2 linked regions of the Lonchura striata genome follow. The main gene of each other region encodes a partner of the protein of the gene in region 2 in a complex. Links are inferred from orthologs where the notes say so. Each region holds a gene or a part of one and is shown on either strand. Other genes may lie near its edges.

What was found.
Region 1: the proteins of FBLIM1 (region 2) and FLNC are in contact, whole or in part, in an NMR structure (PDB 2K9U), measured with the Homo sapiens proteins. The link is inferred for Lonchura striata from reciprocal best matches to the Homo sapiens genes FBLIM1 and FLNC. Residues at the interface, in NP_001337080.1 of Homo sapiens: Arg8, Val9, Ala10, Ser11, Ser12, Val13, Phe14, Ile15, Thr16, Leu17, Pro19; in NP_001449.3 of Homo sapiens: Thr2339, Ala2344, Gly2345, Gly2346, Leu2347, Ser2348, Ile2349, Ala2350, Val2351, Glu2352, Gly2353, Pro2354, Ser2355, Lys2356, Ile2359, Phe2361, Asp2380, Glu2382, Phe2387.

What each region holds. Positions count from the first base shown.
Region 1 is NC_134607.1:73,108,113-73,117,831, reverse strand, and holds the start of FLNC (filamin-C), read right to left. Parts: upstream 4,579-9,719; 5' UTR 3,799-4,578; coding exon 3,462-3,798; intron 1,710-3,461; coding exon 1,461-1,709; intron 1,272-1,460; coding exon 1,174-1,271; intron 824-1,173; coding exon 673-823; intron 191-672; coding exon 72-190; intron 1-71. Other genes in the region: OPN1SW (short-wave-sensitive opsin 1), read left to right, coding at 8,905-9,247.
Region 2 is NC_134626.1:6,423,996-6,433,927, reverse strand, and holds FBLIM1 (filamin-binding LIM protein 1), read right to left. Parts: upstream 4,101-9,932; coding exon 3,908-4,100; intron 3,531-3,907; coding exon 3,397-3,530; intron 3,319-3,396; coding exon 3,207-3,318; intron 3,118-3,206; coding exon 2,948-3,117; intron 2,856-2,947; coding exon 2,677-2,855; intron 2,588-2,676; coding exon 2,470-2,587; intron 2,165-2,469; coding exon 2,051-2,164; downstream 1-2,050. Other genes in the region: TMEM82 (transmembrane protein 82), read right to left, coding at 7,465-7,530, 7,632-7,819, 8,896-9,304. UniProt on the Homo sapiens protein: Serves as an anchoring site for cell-ECM adhesion proteins and filamin-containing actin filaments. Is implicated in cell shape modulation (spreading) and motility.

The sequences.
Region 1 (9,719 bases), on a different chromosome or scaffold from region 2:
GGCACAGGGAGGTCTCCCAGAGGGGGAGATGGGGGGGGATACCCCTGAGGGGGGGCCAGGGCCCCCTGTACCTCCTCAGTGTGTCCCTCGGGGTCCTCAACATAGACCAGGACCTCTCCCATGCCTGCCTCGAGGGTCTCCACTGTGAACTGGGCAGGGCGCAGCACCACATTCCCCTGGGGCTCAATGCCTGCAGGGTAGGGGGAGTCAAAGGGGGCCACAGCCCCCCAAAACCCCCCAGGGTTTTGGGTCCCAGGTTGTCCTTGGTGGTAGCAGGGGGTTCCAGAGTGTCAATGGTGGTCTCCTGAGTATGGGCAGGGGAGTCTGATAGGCCTTTGGGGAGTCTCTGTGCATAGCGGGACTTTTGGGGAGCCCTGGGTGGGGAGTGGAGACCCTGGGGTTTCCCTCGGGTGTCCCTGGGCACAGGTGACACCCCAGGACTGGAGAGGAGTCCCTGGCTTGCGGAGGCCATGGTTTACTCTCATGCCCTGACAGCCAGAGCCCCCAGACACCCTCTTGTGCTGACAAGCCCCCCAAGTCCCCGCTCCGTGCCCCTTTTGTTCCCACCTGTGCCAGGTCCCCAGCCCCCCCGGTGCCCCTCAAACCTCCACCCCTTCCTGCCCCCCTGGGACCCCAGCTGCCCACGACCCCCGAGCCCCTCAGCCCCCATACCGGGCCCGTAGGCGCGCGCACGGCCGGGCTCAGGGAGACGGGGGCGCACGGGGGCCCCGGGCCGGAGCTTGGCCTTGGGGAACTGGGACAGGTACGTCATCACCGAGTGCTCGTCCACGTTGGGGTCCACAATCTCCTCGGGGGCGATCACCTGGCAGGGAAGCCCAACACCTGTCAGACCCTGCCGGGGAACCCCCACCACGCAGCCCACTACCAGGAGGGGCCCCCGACACTCCCTGACCCTCCTGAGACCCCAACAGCCATCAGGCCCTCCTTGCCCTGCTGGGGAACCCCCCACACCCCTACCACAGGAGCCATGGGGTACCCCAAATGGCCTGTGGATCCCCAAGGACACTCCCCAGGCACGCCCCTGCACCCCCAGCACCCTCTCCCAGTGCCCCCCACCCGTTCCTGCCCTGCACCGTACCTGGACGAGTGCCAGTGCCCCACCCTGTACCTGTAGACCCGCAGTGCCCCCCACACCCCCCAGCATGCCCGTACCTGGGGGACTCCCAGCCAGTCGTCTGCCTGCTGCATGGCCTCCCGAGCGTTCTGCACCGGCTTGTTGGGGTCCCACTTCTCCCAGTCTGGGCACAGACCTGGAGGGCCAGAAGGGTCAGGGGCGCACCCCTGTCCTGACCCCCGTCCTCCACCTCCCCCTTCTGCGCCTGCTGCCCCCAACATCTCCATCGGTGCCCCCCGAGCCAGCCTGCACCTCGTACCCTCACTCGGGGCGCAGTTCTCCCCCCATCTGTCCCCCCACGCCCCCGCCCCGCCGCGCTCCTCACCCGGGGCGCAGTTGTCCACCAGCGCTCCCAGCGCTTTCCCGTCGCGCCAGTCACGGTTGAAGTTGGTGATGGGCAGCTGCGGCACCTTGTGCTGGATCCAGCCCAGCAGCCGCTGCTTGGGGGTCTGGTGGCGGCCTTCGTCGTCCTCCTCTTCCTCCCACATAGGCATGGAGATGGAATAGTGCAGGATGAGTGTCCAGATCAGCCCCAGGATCAGCTTCAGGTTCCCGTCCACGATTGCTTTGCTGTCTGTGGGGGAGAAACGGGGAGGCTGAACCCCGAGATCCCTCGGGACTCCCCCCGGGGTACCCCGACATCCTGGGACCCGCTGGAGGGATCCTCGCACCTGCACAGCTGTGGCCCCGGGATCAGCTTCAGGGTCGTGTCCCGGCTGTCTCTGGGAATGGGGATAATGGGGGGACTCGGCTGGGGCACCCCCAAACCCCACAGCACCACCACAGGGACCCCTACACCCCGACATCCCACGGCACAACGGGCGGACCCCAGCACCCGTCTCGGGGCACCCCGACACCCCAGGCGGTGCCATGGGACGCTGCACCCCAACACCTGCCTGGGGACACCCCGGGGCACAGAAGCGAGGGATGACCCACGACACTGCGCCCTGTCCATGCCGAGCACTTCACCCTGCGGGGACCCAGCACCCCCGGGAAGTGCCTGGGGGGGCACAACCCTGGCAGCAGCCGGGGTCCCCAAGGGAGCGCCCTGGAGTGCCACACCCCTGACCTTCCCAAGGGATTCCTGGAGTGCCAGAAGGGGGACACTGAGGCAGGGGACGGCTGTGGGGGGAGGGGGGTCCGAGGCATCCCGGTCCCTCCCCCACCGCCCTGCGGAGCTGACCCTCCCCCGCTCCTTCCCCCGCCACTTCCCCCCACGAGCGATCGCGTTTCAGGGAGGAAATGGGGGAGATGGAGGGACAAACCCCTCCCCGCCGGGTGCTCCGGGGGGGCAGCACCTGGGAGCTCCCCAAAACTTGGGGTCACATCTGGGGGCGTCCCGAGAGGGGGCAAAGACGCGCGTGGGAGGGGGCGGCGACACCGCGGGAGGGGGTCTCGCACCCCCCGGGTCCGGGCGTGCCAGGGGGGCCGCGCACGGACGTGTGCGCGGGGGGGGTCACCCTGCAGCTGTCGGGTGGGGGTGGGCGCTGAGGCCCCGCGAGGGGTGGGTGCGTGTGCGGGCCGGGCCCCCCCGCGCGTGAGCTCAGCGCCGCGGCCCCGAGCCAAGCGTGAGCTCAGCCCCCCTGCGCGGCCCTGCACGGGCCGGGCCCCCCCGCTCCGCACGCCCTGCGAGGGTCGGCCCGCAGACCGCGCCGCCCCCGCACACTCACCCCTTGCACACTCGCCCGCAGCCCCGCCAGCCTTGCACGCTCACCCCATTCCCACTGCTGCACCGCTCTCGCACGCTCATCCCGCTCCTGCTCCTGCCACCCCACCGCTTGCACATGCATCCCCATTCTCATCTGTCCGTCGGCCTCACTCTTGCACACATCCTTCATTCCCATTCATCCATCACCCTACCCTTGCACACTCACCCACGGCCCCATCCTCATTTGTCCATCATGCTCCTTGCACAGTCATTCTCCACTCACACTCCTCCACTCCCCACCCTTGCACTCTCACCCTATTCACACCCATCCCTCCCCTCCCTTTACACACTCATCCACATCCTCACTTGTCCACCCCTACCCTCGTATACTCTCCCTCAATTTCCCATCCCCACATCATGCCCACCCTTACACACTCATTCCTCATTCCCATTTGTCCATTGGCCCTGCCCTTGCCCGCTCACCGTTCCCATTCCCCTTCTACCCTCCAGCACCGTTCCCATTCCTCTTCCACCCTCCAGCACCATTCCCATTCCCCTTCCACCCTCCAGCACCGTTCCCATTCCCCTTCCACCCTCCAGCACCGTTCCCATTCCCCTTCCACCCTCACCCGCCCTGTGCCCACCCACCCACGGACACCGCTTCCCTTGCACACCCACCGATGGACACGAGCTTGATGTGCTCCCGCTCCAAGAACTCGAGGGCCACCGAGACATTCTCCAGCTTCATCTGGCGGAAGTTGGGGCGCGGGTGGTGCTTGCGCCCCATCTTCTTCTGGCTGAGCACCTCGAGCAGCGCGATGAGGCGCAGCCCGTCGCTCAGGTCGCGCTGCAGGTCCACGATGCGCTTCTGCACACACTTGAGGTGCTCATTGCACCAGCGCGTGAACGTGTTCTGCTGGATCTTCTTCCAGGGCGCGTCCTCTGCAAGGTCCTTCTCGGTGGCCGGGAGCTCCTCGGGGTCCTCTCCCGGTGCTGCCTCGTAAGTAGAGTTCATCCTGGAGGGCTCGGTGGGTCCTCGATGGGCAGAGGGGTTCCTGGGTGGTGTGGAGAGTCCTGAGAGGGTTGGGGGGGAGCCCTGGCTCACTTCTGGTGCTGGGCGGGGGTCGTGGGTCAGTCCCAGTGTCCTGAAGGGATCCTGGCACCGTGGGTGTGGGTCCCAAGGCGGTGCCGGTGTCCTGTGGATGCCTGGGGTGGGGTTCTGGGTCCCGGTGGCAAAGCTGGCGCTGGGGGACAATGTCCTGGGTTGGGGACGGTGTCCTGGGTCAGAGCTGGTGTCCCGGGCGGGGCCCTGGGTGGGTGCTGGTGCCCGCTATGGGGTCCCGGTGCTGGGAGATTCAGTCCTGGGTCGGTCCCGGTTCCTGGGTGGGTGTCTGTGTCCTGGATGGGGTCCCAGTTCCCGGCGATGGGGGACGGTGTCCTCGGTCAGTCCCGGCGCCCAGGGAGGGTCCCGGTCCCCGGGGTCAGGACGGGTGCCTGAGGACGGGGTCCCGTCTCAGTGCCGGTGTCCCGAGAGGGGTTCGCTGCTCGGTACTGGTGTCCTGGCTAGGGTTTCCTGTTCCCGGGGTCGGGGGCTGGTGTCCTGGGTCCGTCCCGGTGCAAGTTCCCGGTGGTGGGGTTGGTTCCCGGTGCGTTCCCGGAGCGGAGCGGCGGGTCCCGGAGGGCTGGGGGGTCCGGTAGGTTCCCGGGTCGGTTCCCGATTAGTTCCCGGAGCGGCGTTCGCGGCGGGCTCCCGTGTGTTCGCGAGGCGTCCCAGGAGCGCTCCTGGGCCAGGGGCGACGGCGGCAAGTGGCGGGGCCGGGGGCGGCGGCGGCTTTAAGCGCTGCCCCGGCCCGGCCCGCCCCGTCCCGGGGAGGGACCGAGCAGGAGGGACGGAAAGACCGCCCGAGCGGCCGGGGGTGGGGGGTCCGGCCGTCGCTATTTACAGCCCCGGCCTCACTCCCGGAGCCCCAGACACCGGCACCCCCAAGACCGCCGGACTTCGGCGCTCCCCAAACCTCGGACCCCCGGACTCCGGCACCCCCAAAACCCCGGAATTCGGCACCTCCCAAAACGCCGGATCCCAGCACACCCCGGAGCCCCCCGACTTCAGGACTCCCGGGCCAAAGCTCCCCCAAACCGCGGCACTCCCAAAACCCCCAAACAGTGGCAGTTCCAAAAACGCACAGACATCAGCACCCCAAAATCTCTGACATCCCTAAAACCGCTGTAACCTCAAACGCCGGCCCACCAAAACACCGACACTCACCAACACAAGCACCCCAAAACGCCAGCACCCACCAACTCCCAAACGCTGGCACCCCAACACCCCAAAACTCCCCGAATTCCCTGAAGTCCAGTGTCATAAACTCCTAAACTCTGCCACCTCAGAACCCCCTGCCCCCAGACACTGGCACCCCCAAACTTTGCACGCTGAACCACGGCACGCCTAAACTTTGGCACCCTCAAACCTCAGCACCCCCAAACCTCGGCCCCCAGGCACCCCAGCCTCCCTACACTGAAACCCTGGTACCTCAAATCCCAGCACCCAGACACCCCTGAAACTCTGGCCCCCCAAAATCCAGAATCCACCCATAATAATCCCAAATACCTGCAACCTCGACACCCCAAAACCTCAGCACCCTATAGCCCAGGCAGCCCAACACCCTGTTATCCTGATACACCTGTACCTTAATTCCCAAACATCCCAGGCACCCCACAGCACAACGCATCCCAAAACCCCCCCAAAGACGCCCCCAAAACTTACTCGAACCCCCTCACTCATCCCTTTCCCCTTGGGAACCCCTGAAAAACACATAAAAACTCTCCCCCAGCCCCGAGGGGCACAACTGAGATCCCACAAACCCTCCCAGGATCCCCTCTGGGGAAGCCCCCCCCCCAGGACCACTCTTGCCATGGAACCCCCACCCAGTCCCCTCGGTTGCACCCCACTCCCTCCGGTGACTCCAGCCGTGGGTCCCCCTGGCCATGCCTCAGTTTCCCCATGACAATGGCACAAGCCTGGGGAGGGGGTTCGGTCATATTTGGGGTGCACCCTAAACCCCTCTGCCCCCCAAATCTCTCTTGTGCCCCTCCCCCCTTTCCAGACACCCGCGGCCTCCTCAGCTCCCTTGGGAGGGGCAGGGGGACACTCGGGTGACCCACATCTGGGTCCTTTGGGGGGGCGATTTGGGGAGTATCGTGTTCCCCCTGTTCCGGTGCCTGCCTGGAAGCTTCCAAGGGAAGGGGGGGCGGTGCGGGTGCACCCCGGGGTGACAACGGGTGACAAGGGGTGACGTGGGGGGGTGACGTGGGGGGGGTGACGCGGTGGCGCCTGCGCCAACACCTAAAAATAACCTGCCGAGTCAGAGCCACGCACCGGCACCCAAAATACCCGGGGGGGCACGCGGGGGGGCGCCCCCAACACATCATCACCCAAAATACCTGGGGCAGGGGCCGGGGGGGCACCAACAGGGGTGGGGGCAAAACGCGACAGGGTCCCTCACCAGGACCCCCAAGCCCTTGGCAGGTGTGGGAAGGGGAGCGAGTGGGTTGGGGGGGTCAGGATGTTTGGGGAGGTCGAGGGTGGTCCAGGGGGCTCTGAGCAGTCAGGGCACTGCGGGGGGGTCAGTGCACTCCAGGATGGGGTTTCAGGATGCTGCTGGGGCAGGTCAGGGGGACCCAGGGGGATCCCAGTGTCCCCCAGGGTCTCGGCTCTGCCACAGCCAGGGCAGAGGAAGATGACGGTGGAGGCCACGAGGGGACAAAGGACCTGACCCCGCCAGTGTCTCCTGGGGAGGGGACACAGGGCAGAAACACTGCTGCCCGTGGTGACATCCTGAGTCCAGCGTCCCCCCAGCCTGTCCCCAGCTGTTTCCTTGGGACACTGGGGCTGGAAGCACTCAGGGTCCTCAGGGTGGGGTGACATGGGGAGGGGGTCATCGGCAGCCTGGGGGCACAGAGAGGGGAAGAGGGGGGCACTGGGGACGTGGCCATGGGGACATGGGGCCAGGGCTGAGGGACATAAGGGACACGAGAACGAGGGGTACATGGACAGTGGGACACAGGTAACGTGGCCATGGGGACAGCAGGGACATGTGTGGGGCCACATCCAGGAGGGCACAAGAGCAGCGACTTGGAGGCCCTAGGAGTCCCACGGGGGCCATGGGGCTGGAGACAGAGCACTGGGGGGCCTGGGGGGCCATGGGTCCCGTGTGGAGGTGGTGCTGCCGGTACCAGTGGGTGCTGGGGGCTTGGTGGTGGGCACTGGTGGTGTGGGGGGTCCTGGCAGGGCAGTACCACCACTGCAGGCCCCGGAGCTCCATGCCCAGCATCCCCCAAGTCCCTTCCCTGCTCCATCCACAATCCCAGAATCACAGAACCACAGAGCCCCTGAGGCTGGAAAAGCCCTCCCGGCCATGGAGTCCAAGCTGTGCCTGACTTCTCCTTGTCCCGGAACCCTGGGTGCCACCTCCAGGCCTCCCTTGGACACCTGTGGGGATGGGCACCCCAAACCCCCCCGGGCAGCCCCTGCCGAGGCTGACAGCTCCGTCGTGCCCCAGCTCTGCCGTCCCCCACAGCCCCTGCGCTGTAGCCCTCTCCGCAGCCCACAGTGCCCACAGTGGCCGCGGCTCCACAGGGGACACAGCGGGGGGACCCTTTGTGGGGTGTCTGTCCCCTGGGTCACCACCCTGGGGCACCACCCTGGGACACCACCCTGGAGCACCCATTTGGGGGTGCCCCTCCATGGGACGCCTAGTAGAGCACCAGCAGAGCTGACCCTACCCGGTACGGCCCAGTACAGCCCAGTACGGCCCGGTAGAGCCTGGTACAGTATGACCAAACCCAGTACAACCCAACAGGGCACAGTGCAATGCCATGGCACAATACAGTGCAGTACAGCCCAATGTAGTCCAGTACAGCCCAGTACAAACCAGTACAGTACAGGCCAGTATGATCCAGTACAGCCCAGTAAAACATGGGCTGGGGGTTCAGCCCAGCCAATCCCCCTGTTCCTTCCCTGGCCCCATCTCTGACCCAGAGCTGGACAGAAGCTCAGGGTGCCCCAGGACACCCCAGGGTGGGCACCCCCCACACACTCAGGGCACAGCGTTCCCTGAGGGTGTCCCCCTCCCCACAAATGAGATCCCCCTTCCCTGGGGGTCCCGGGGTGCCACAGTGAGGTCCCTGCACCAGCCTTTATAGGCGCCCCCAGCCCGGGGGGGCACTGTAATCCCTCCCTAAGCAGCTTCTGTTCATCCTTCCTGTTCCCCGGGGGTGCCACAGGCTGAGGGAGGGAAAGAGGGGGGTGGGAGGGCAGGAAACGCTGGGAGTCTTCTGGGACTCAAGTCCCAGCAGCACACCCCCAAAGTGACCCCCCATCCATGACCCCCTGTCACTGCACCCCCAAAATGAACACCCCCTCTCAGACACCCCACCTCAAGCAGTGCCCCCCCAGTCTTCCCCCCACCCCTTGATACCCCCAGACTCCTACACCTCACTTGGAGTCTCCCCAGCACAGGGATGCCCCAAGCCCAGAACTGGGGACAATTGCTTGAGAGGGGAGACACCTGGGGGGCACCCTGGGGTGCTGGGGTGGGGGGCAGCGGGTGAGTTCATGAGGAAACTCCAAGTTCTTCCCAAAGCATCCAGGGCTGCGGCACCCTGGGGGAGTGGGATCAAGGCTGGAGCACCTGGGGACCCCTGGGGATCCTAGGGGCACCTGGCCATTCTGGGGGTGACCAGGACACAGCTTGGGGACCCCCTGGGGCACACTGAGGACCCTGGTGGGATCAGAACTAAGGCTGGGGACCAAGCCTTGGGCTTGGGAACACCTGGGGACACCTGAACACCTCAGGAGGAGCAGGATCAAGCTTGGAGCCCCCTGGGGACCCTCCCCATACCCAGATGTTGGGGGGAGCCCTTCTGCCCCCCCCCCCCCCCCCCCAATCCTCCAGAGCACCAGCAATCGGCTCACCCGGCTCAGGGGCCCGATTAGGGGCTGAGCCCGGTTTAGCCCACCCTAATCCCCAAGTTTGGCCGGGCTGAGCCCTGATCCCCCCTAAGCAGCTTTGGGGGCGCAGGGTATATCAGGGGGGTGGGCGCCCCCCCCGCCAGCGCCACCATGGACGAGGAAGAGTTCTACCTGTTCAAGAACCAGTCGTCGGTGGGGCCCTGGGATGGGCCCCAGTACCACATCGCGCCCGTGTGGGCCTTCTACCTGCAGACCATCTTCATGGGCTTGGTGTTCGTGGCGGGCACCCCCCTGAACGCCATCGTCCTCATCGTCACCATCAAGTACAAGAAGCTGCGGCAGCCGCTCAACTACATCCTGGTGAACATCTCCGTTGCCGGCCTCATGTGCTGCGTCTTCTGCATCTTCACCGTCTTCATCGCCAGCTCCCAGGGATACTTTGTCTTCGGGAAGCACATGTGTGCCTTTGAGGGCTTTGCAGGGGCCACCGGAGGTACGAGGGGACCATGGGGCGCTCAGGCTGCTGTGGCCAGAGACGATGGAGCGACCACTGGGGGCTACTGGGGCCAGAGGTGGCCACAGTGATCTCCTGGGGCCGTGGGAGTTGGGGTGACCACCAAGGTCTGGTAGGGCTCAGATATCATGACCAACACGTTCTGCTGAGGCTTTGGGAGTTGGGTTGACCACCATGGGCTGCTGGGGTGCAGGATTGGGGTGACCTTCTGGACCTTAAGGAGCTGACCACTGTACTCTGGTGGGACTGTAGGAGTTGGGGTGACCACTGGGGTCTGGTGGAGCTGGAAGTGGGGGTGACCGTCATGTTCTTCTGGGGCTGGGGAATTTGTGTCTGGGATCATTGTGGTCTGGTGGGGCTGAAGGTGGCAAGATGGGTAAGGGCCATGGGAAGGGTAGAGCCCTGTGAGCTGTTGAGGCTGCAGGAGCTGAGGTGACCACTGAGGCCTGAA
Region 2 (9,932 bases):
AACACGGGGCTGTGCTTTTCAGGCAAAGCAATGCTCCCCAAGCCTCAGCTCGTAGTGCTTCTCCCTTTATCCGGGAAGATGCCTTAAATCAGCCTTTTTGTCCTCTTACCTGTGTCCGTGTATCCCTGTCCCTTGTCACCCTCCGCTCCTGAAATACCACGTCAAATCTGACCACGCCACATCCCTTCACCATGCTGCCAAACGCTCCAGCGGTGCCTTTCCTTTCTCCTTGCTTTCCAGGACCTTCTCCAAGGCTGCCTGTAAATAAAAGCATTTCCCTGCCTGTCTCCAGCCAAAAATTCTGCAGTCCCAGTGCCAACAGCCCATCCTGGAAGGCTCCAAGGGGGAAATACCCAACTCCTTCCCACCATTCCTCTGTGGAAGAGTAGTGCAATTTGCAATAACACATCCAAAACACCGCTCAGCATTGCACTTCCATCCTCCCCAAAAACCTTGAGTGGAAACATATCCATATTACAAAATGCAAACAGCCCTTTGCCCTCTGGGCTTTCTTTTTCCTGCTCCCTTTGGCCACTGCCACATCCTTTTACTTTTTTAGCATTATTTTGATGCCAGATTTTCCTCACAGTGCAAGAAGCTTTGGAAAGTGAGAGGTGACTCAGAGCACAGGAATTCCTTGGCATGGGACAAGGAGTTCCCACCCAACTGGACCCAAAGCCACCAACTTATGTGTCCAGGACAGACCACAACTTATTTATAAATACATTTAAAGCAAGTTATGATCTGATTGATGGCCCAGAGATGCTCATTAAAAAACACTGAGTAATCAGCTTTGTAGATAGGGAAGAGTCATCAGGAAATAGTTATTGATGTGATTAATTAACTATCATTAACCCCTCCACTCAAACAGAGCACACACCAGAGATGTATGTGATCCAAGAGCTGCTGGTCTGGTGGTTGTTTTCTTTGTTTGCAGCTCCCATTTTCCATCAGGAAATCATTAAACATCATCTCATGCTCATGAGATTTTCTCGCATGCGCATGCTATTTTCTGCTCTTGATTTGTGGCTTTTTAAACACTTTCGGTTAAAAAGAAAGTTACGAAGTTTCTCCGCCTGGTTTGCAGCGCCCTCGCAAACAAAACCACTAAGTGCCGCCAACATCAGTTGCACAGATGTTGGGCACGCCGAGAAATGGTCTAATTTCTGCTGGTTTGAGGCCTGGACTGAGAGGAGATCAAAAAGTTTCCACTGGCAGAGCGATATAATCTTGGATAATATGCAGAAAGCGGGCTGTCCATCTTTCCCAGCGTCCCGGCCCTGCGGGATGCTTTTAGCTGGAGTTTTACTGCCTGATGGAGGAATCTGTGCTCCGGCTGCCCTCTGCCGGCTCCGGATAGATAGTCAGCAAAAAAACCCGAAACCACACCAAAACCCCTTTTATCAACACCACGAAACATCGCCAGATCCCATATGCACCCTAAAAACAACACTCGGCTCTCCCCAGGGTGGCAGCAGCATCTGCCATATCGCTGCACCCTAAAATCAATGGTTATGAACCAATTCTCGCCACGCCTAGAAAATCCAAAACTGGCTTTTTTCCCTTAATTTAAACTTGGATTTTATAGGTTTGGAATGCAGGGTGGATTAAAGAAATGAGTGTTTAAAAACTTGGGGTTTTATTTAACTGCGAGTAACTAAATCAGTGCCCACAGCTCTCCACAGAGAGAAACATTTCAGTGAAATGCCAAGGAAGCTTTAGAAGAAAGAAACACCACCCAAGAAAACCAAACTGGCCTTCGGAAAAAGGAGTTTAAAAAAAGAAATGAGGACTAAAACCTCCAGTCCTTATTGCTGCTCTGTCAGGGCATTTTATATTCATGATGAGTGCAGAGCTGTGCGGGGACGTATCCACAGTTCTCCACCCAACCAACCCACCAGGTCAGGGGCCTGGGGACATTTTTGTGGTGAAAACTCAGTTCTGCAGTAATCTGGGGATGCAGCAGGCACCCAGGGTTGGCCATGGGGTGGATCCCACTGGGGGCACCCCCTTTTTGGTGCACTGGAAGATCTTGATGAGCTGCAGGGTCTCAGCAGGACGACTCGTTGCGCCAGTGGATGTGGCAGGACTTGCAGAGGAGGTGGTCGTCCAGGGGGTAGCACCCGTTCTCTGTCAGCTCCGGTGACAGGGGCATCCTACAACTCTGGGGGCAGGAGGGGGAAAGGAAGCCACCTTTTAGAGGTTCCTGTGTGTGTTACATCCTATTTTCCCTGCAAAACCCACCAGCACTCCAAAAAAGCGACAAACTACATCAAAAGCATGCAAAGCTAAAGTTCTCCAAACACATCACCACCACCCAATTGATTTATTTTGCCCCTCCCCATTACTCATAAGATAAACTGAGGGCTAAAACCCAGTCATGGGTGCTGTCATCCCTGTGTCCATGCTCAGCTAAGGTTCAGTGCCACCCCTTTGGTTTTGGGGACCCCTCAGCCCCCAGGGCCGTACCTCGCAGCGGTAGCAGCTCTCGTGGAAGCTGCGTCCCAGGCACTCGATCTTGTAGGTGTCCTCGTCCTCGCGGGGGACAATGGGGCGCTCGCAGGCGCTGCACACCGCGGCGTATTTCCTGATGGGAGCCAACGGGAGCAGCGTGAGCTCTGCAGGGGATGAGCCAAACCCAGCTCCCAGCGTGGGAGACACTCCCCCATGGCCAACCTGTAGTAGTCGGGCACGCAGTACACATCACCCTGTTTGTCCACAGCAAAGCTCTCGGTGCCGATGGCCCGGCCACAGCCAGCGCAGGAGAAGCAGCTGGGGTGGTAGCCCTTGCCCAGGGCATGGACAATGTGCTCCGTAATCAGCCCCTGGCACTTGGCACATTTCTCCAGCGTGGCCTGGAATTTAGGGAACACGTGCCATAAGACACCAGCCCACACCCCGAGGGATGTTCCGAGTGTGCTGGTTTTCCCCGAAGATGGATGGGTACCTGGAAGCAGGTGTCACACGTGGGGCACCCGTCTCTCTGGAAGTAGCGCTGCCCAGCCAGGAGCCGGTGGCACATACGGCAGGTGAAGCACTCAGGGTGGTACTGCTTCCGCATCGCCTCCACCGTCGGCTCCCGGGGCCCCAGCGCTTTGTGGCAGAAGGCACAGATGTCTGCAAGAAGCAGGGAGAGCGGTTAGGAGCTGCGTGCCTCAGTTTCCCTAAGAGGGGATGAGCCCATGCACAGCTGAGTCTCCTCTTACCTCTGGAGCTGTCCCTCCCCGGGTGCCCATTTGCATCCTGCCACTGCCGCTTGCCTGCTTGCTCCTGGGAAAATGTGGGCAGCTTCAATTCAGCAGGGAAGGTGGAAGGGGCCTGGCAAGTGGGGAAGGGCAAAGCCACGTTAGTGGGGAAGCTGAGGCACTGGGGGGTGCTGCACTCTGTTATCCTCACCTGGAGGGTGGCGGGCGCTGCAAGGTCCAGTTGCTGCAGTGCCAGACCCAGCGGCTCCACAGACAAGGGCTGGGGCACTTCAGAGAGGGGCAGGACTGGTGGGGGTGCAGGTACAGGGGCCACCGGGTGGGTTTCTGCAGCAACAGACAGATGTGGGGGATTTAGGGGATCAATAATGTCCAATAGCACCCCGTCACAATAACACCCTGTCACAATAACACCCCAACAGCTTTGCAGCAGCGCTCACTGACCTGCCCCAAAAGCAAACGCCATCGAAGCAGGAGGAGACAAGCAGCACCGATAAGCACCCAGCAATGGAGAGCAAACACAGCCCGTCCCCAGGAGCCGGATCCATGCCGGGTTGCATGCAGGGATTTGGGGAATAACTCCCCAAAACATACCCCAAAATGCCCTTCCGCACGCACATCCTTTAGCAAAGCATCTCTACAGCCTCCTCAGCCCCATTGCCATCCTTCCACATCGCTCGCAGCCCCCCATGGACACCCCTCACCTCTGTAGGGCAGCGAGGGGGGTGACAGCAGGATCTGGGGGTGATGAGCGCCAGGGACCTTGGCATCACCTGGCTGCAGCTCCCGTTGGGTTTTCTCCTTGGTGGCCACGTCCCTCCGTGGTGGCACGAGGGTGATGAAAATGGATGAAGCGATTCTCTTCTCTGCTTTCCCTGGCAACATTGCTGAAGCCATGGAAAGGCCAGATCGGGGGTTGATTCTAGGGAAAATAAGAAAGAAAGAGAGTAAAACTTGCAGGCACACTGGCAGCTCCTGCAGCCGTGCTGCCCTTCGGCATCAACCCACCTCCCTCCTCCCGGAAAGGGAGAAGGAACAAGCGTCCCATCCCACGTCACAGCAATAAATGGTCTCGTGCCTGGGAGGACACAGGGTACAGAATCCTGACAGCAGCTGATATCTCCCATTTTCACACCTCTGTGGCCATATTCCACCTTTTCATAAGCATTTGGATCTCCTGTATTTCCTCTTATTGCTCCTACCCACCTGGGATTAAACTCCCCATGGGCAGCAGGAAGTACCCACCTTTCCTTTTATAAAACAGGGCAGCTATGGGATTTTGCTTTTGCAACCCCTTTTTTGAAATCTTTCTACATCCCCATTCCCTCCCTCCTTATCCCCAATTCCTTGCCAATCACTTCCAGCTCTGCACATCCCCCTCTTTTACTTTTCCAGGTGGGAAAACTGAGGTGTGGTGCTGTGAATCACCACATCCCCGACACTGACACATCCCCTGAGCAGCACCCGGCAGCACAGGCAGGACGCACCCGACCCCGAGAAACGCTGCTCAGGAAGGAAAAGGGCTGTTTGTCCAACTTCCCAAGGGGAAAAGCAGCTGGGGCGAAGCTTCCCCTTCCCAAATGGAATGGACTGAGGGGGGGGACCCTGAGGCTTTAGTCAGGGCGCTGTGTTGGTGAAGCAGAATTCATCCCTGAGGTGAATTGGCAGCTTGAAAGATACCTGTGTGATGAGTTCCCGGTCTCATGCGGCTCTGCTCCCCCAAAATCTCACTCACGGGGGTCAGCACATCCTTTGAGGGGCAGACAGACTCCCCGAGGTGGGCAAAAAGCTTCGCGATGTTCCTGCTGGTGACTTCAGCCTCTGACTCAAGGGATTAAAGAGGAAGGGATTAAAAAGGAAAAAGAACCCCGATCATTTGCTCCCTCTTTCCCTCCCTCCCCGCCGGCTACCGGTGCCTTCGCCCAGCTCCTCACCCGCCGGGGCTACCGCTTTTCCTCCTCCCCAGCAGAACTGCGGAAAACTGAGGGGAAAAAGAAAAGAACAATCATTTAAAAAAAAAAAAAAAAAAAAAAAAAAAAAAAAAAAAAAGTTCTCCGGGGTTAATAGGAACCATGTGCTCATCGCATTCCTCTTTGTGCCGGGGCTGACGGGATCCCGGCAGCGGCACCCCCCGGATGATCCCCCTGGCCCGGGGCCACCGGGCTGGTCGAGGCTCGAGGGGTGCATTAACGGGGGTCCCCCCTTCCCATGTAGCTCCACCCTGGTTTGGGGTGGCCGAGGCCACACTGGAAAGGAACCCCCCTGGTTTCCCTGAAATCTCCTGGGATGGAAGTTCGGGTGGGATTGATGGGAATAGGGCCACTTATGGGGTATCCCCACAACCCCAAAACTGGCATGGGACGCAGCCCTCTAGAGCTGCACCTCGACTCTGCCCTGGGAGCTCTCACAGGCTGCTCCGAGGACGCCCAAGGAACAAGGGATGGGATGGGGGTACATAACACTTGGTGTCCATCTTCCCCCACCCCAAGCAGTCCCGCTGTCCTCTTGTCCCTCACCTGGGGGGTGGCCTTGCAGCCCCCGGGCATCCCCTGTGCAGCCCCACAGCTCCCCGTCCCCCACCTGGCAGTGCCCTGTCCCTTGTGGAGCGGTGCCCCACCGTGTCCCCCCTGCCTGGGAGCCCCCATCCCCTCCCTGGGAGGGTCCCCAGTCCCCTCCGTGGGGGTGGCTCTTGGTCCCCTTGTCTCACCCCAGGATGACTTCGGTCCTTATCCCATCCCGTGGGGGTCCCGTATCCCATATCGGGGTGTCCCCTGTCCCCTCCTGGGGGGTGGCTCTTGGTCCCCTTGTCTCACCCCAGGATGACTTCGGTCCTTATCCCATCCCGTATCCCATATCGGGGTGTCCCCTGTCCCCTCCTGGGGGGGTTTCCAATCCCACATCTGGGGTGGTCCCTACCTGAGGGTGGCCCCTGTTTCCTACCTGGGGGTCGTACCTTGCGGGCGAGGAGGGGTGTCGCCTGCCCGGAGGTGGCCCTGCGGCCTCTCGGGGGGTGACCCTGTCCCCGTCCGTGTCCCCGACCTGGGCAGCGGCTGCGGGTCCCTCCGTGCGCTCCGCGGGCGCGGCGGGGGCAGCGGGAAGGCAGAACCGCCCGGCATCACCGCCCCTTCCTCCCTCCTCCTCCTCCTCTTCCACCTCTCTTCCTCCTCCCCCCTGCCTGCCCCACAGCCCCGGGCGGAGGAAGAGTGGGGCACGCGTCCTTAGGGTGCCCCATGCACCCTCCGACTGCCCCGCGCTCCCCAAAGCGCTCCCTGGGGGCCCCATCTACCCCAGGGTGACCCATGGTCCCGTGGGTGCCCCATATGCTCTGGGATTACCCCCCCCCAGGTTTTCCCATGGACCTTCGGAGGGCTCCACACACCCTCAGGGCACCCAACCCCAAGGGGTGCCCTGTGAGCCCCCCATACACCCCCGGGGTGCCTGCGTACCCCAGTACAGCCGAAATACCTCCATATACCCCCAGGATAACCCCTATCCTCCAATACAGCCGGAGTTAGCCCCATATTTCTTCTATGTACCCTCAGGGCACCCATGTGTCCCCCTAGAGCCCCAGCATGCCCCATAAACCCCTATAGAGCCCCCGCTGCCCCAAACACCCCCAGACCCCCTCCTGCTCCTCCCTGCATTGGGAGTCCATGCCCAGGCAGCCAGAACCCCCCCTCCCCACACTGCACCCCACCTTCGCAGGGCCTGTTGTTCCCTTGCACAGCACAGTGAGGTGCAGCCAGGGGGAAACTGAGGCACAGGGGCACCTCCCAGCCAGACGGTCACCCCACTCAGTGCCTCAGCTTCCCTTCCCAAGGAGGAATTCCACCCACCTCCCTCAACAATCTGCACTGCCACCATCCCAAGTGCCTTTCCAGCACAATGGGACCCCAGCTTGCTCTGCCCATGGATTTTGCTGGAAAAAAACACCTTTATTTTCTGAGATTTATAATCCCCTGGAGGCCCCTGACAGTGTGGCCCAGCTGCCAGCAACGATGGGACATCCATCAGCATCCTGCAATCCCACTGGGACCAGAGAACAAACCCCAGCAGTGCTGCAACCTCATGGAATCCCCCCAAAAACCAGGGGCAACATGAGCCTTCCCCCCAACCTCCTCCATCCTATGGGATGGGGTCGGACTCCTTCCAGGAGCCCTTTTTTCCTTATTCCCCACGGGGGATCTGTGATGGGGGGATTCTGGGGTGCCCAGCGAAGCCACCCCGAGTTCATTTCCGCTGTCCGGTTCCGCCCTGCGGCTCATCGGGACGATTCCTCGGGTCCGGATCCCGACAGATTATCCACGCGAGGCTGCTGGGCAAAATCCTGGCCGGGATGGAAGAGAGAAGCCAAAAAGCCTCTCACCGTGGCCCTGGGGCTGCTGCCAGCCCTCACCCTGCGTGGCAGGGAGGTGTCCCCCCTCTCACCTGCCTCCAGCAGGACTCCAGCAGCACCCCGGAGCGCAGCAGGCACCAGAGCTCCCCCAGCAGAGACACGAAGACGTGCAGGATGTCGGTCCATCGGCCCACGGTGAGGAGGAGGATGAAGAGGCCGCCCATCCGCACCAGCACGGTCCGGAACGCCGACCCCCTGCCCGTGCTCTGCCGGGACTCCTCTGCGAGGACGCGGCATTGGGGAGCCACCGCGGGGACGCTGGGACCTCCGCAGCCCCACAACGGGGACACCAAGCATGGGGTGGCTTCATGGATAGCCCATGTAGCCCCTATACACCCCCAGGACAGCCCTTGTACCTCTTATAGTCCCAGGGTGCCCCAGGTACCCCCAGGACATCCCATGTACTCTCTGTACCACCCAGTACCCTCTATGTACACCCGGGATATATATACACACACCCCCTACAGACCCCCAGGGTGCCCCATATACCCCTGTACACCCCCAGAATGTACCACATACCTCCTTACAGACCCCTGGCATGCCCCATATACCCCTATACACCCCCAGAATGTACCACATAGCCCTTTACAGATCCCTGGCATGCCCCATATATCCCTATACACCCCCAGAATGTACCACATACCTCCTTACAGACCCCTGGCATGCCCCATATACCCCTATACACCCCCAGAATGTACCACATAGCCCTTTACAGATCCCTGGCATGCCCCATATACCCCTATACACCCCAGAATGTACCACATATCCTTTTACAGACCCCCAGGATGCCCCATATACCCCTATACACCCCCAGAATGTACCACATAGCCCTTTACAGACCCCCAGGATGCCCCCATATACCCCTATACACCCCCAGAATGTACCACATACCTCCTTACAGACCCCTGGAATGCCCCATATACCCCTATACACCCCCAAAATGTGCCATATACCCCTTTACAGACCCCTGGCATGCCCCATATATCCCTATACACCCACAGAATGTACCACATACCTCCTTACAGACCCCTGGAATGCCCCATATACCCCTATACACCCCCAAAATGTGCCATATACCCCTTTACAGACCCCTGGCATGCCCCATATACCCCTACACACCCCCAGCACATACTATATATACTACCTATATAAGGACACCCTGCATACCCCCAGTACACCCCATATACTCCGCACAGGCTCCCAGTCTGCCCCTATACAGCCCCAGGTGGGGGTGTACACCCCAGTGGCCCCACACACCCCGAGTACATCCCACAGGCCCCTCGGAGCCCCCCGTACCCTGCATGTAGGCAACCAGCAGGGTGTAGCAGATGGTCAGCGGGGTCCAGAAGCGCACGGCCTCGCCCGTGGAGAGGAAGTCGCGGTTGATGAGCTCCACGGCCGCCAGGTCGGCCACGGCGAAGGTGATGGCCAGGGCGCTGCGCAGCAGGCGCGGGATGCCGTGGCCCTTGGCCAGCAGCAGGATGCAGACGCCGCAGTAGCGCTGCCGGCTGTGCAGCTCGTACAGGGCGCAGACGTGCCGGGCCAGGCGCCGGGCGTGCAGCGCCAGCAGCCCCGCCAGCCCCGCCGCCAGCGCCAGGTTCCAGCTGCGGTGCGGAGCCCCCTCCAGCAGGAAGCTGAGGCCGCAGGACACCCCGCAGCCCAGCGAGTACTGGCACAGCAGGTAGAGCTGGCTGCTGCGGGCGCCCTGCAAAGCAGCGGGGGGGTCATGGGATCCTGCAATCGGTGAGGATGGAAAAGATCTCCAAGATCAATGAGCCCAACCGTTCCCCCAGCATTGCCGTGTGCACCTCTACTCATGTCCCCAAGCGCCTCGTCTAAACACTTGTTGAACCCTTCCTTGGACGATGACTCCAGCACTGCCCTAGATAGCCTGTGCCAGTGCCTGAGCACCCTTCCCATGAAGGATTTTTCCCAATATCCAATCTAAACCTCCCTTGGCTCAGCCTGAAGCCGTTCCCTCTCCTCCTGTCCCTGTTCCCTGGCAGCAGAGCCCGACCCCCCGGCTGTCCCCTCCTGGCAGGAGCTGTGCAGAGCCAGAAGGTCCCCCCTGAGCCTCCTTTTCTCCAGGTTGAGCCCCTTTCCCAGCTCCCTCAGGCTCTCCAGACATTTCCACCTCTGGACACTCCAGCCCTTCAATGTCTTCCCACAGAGGTCCCAGAACTGGAGGTGTCCCACCAGTGCCAGCACAGGGGACAAGCACTGCCCTGGGACTGCGCCCACACTGGGACCAGCCAGGGCCCATTGGCCTCTTGCCCACCTGGGGGACACCTGGCTGAGGTGCAGAGGGACACATGGCCACCTCCACCTACAGC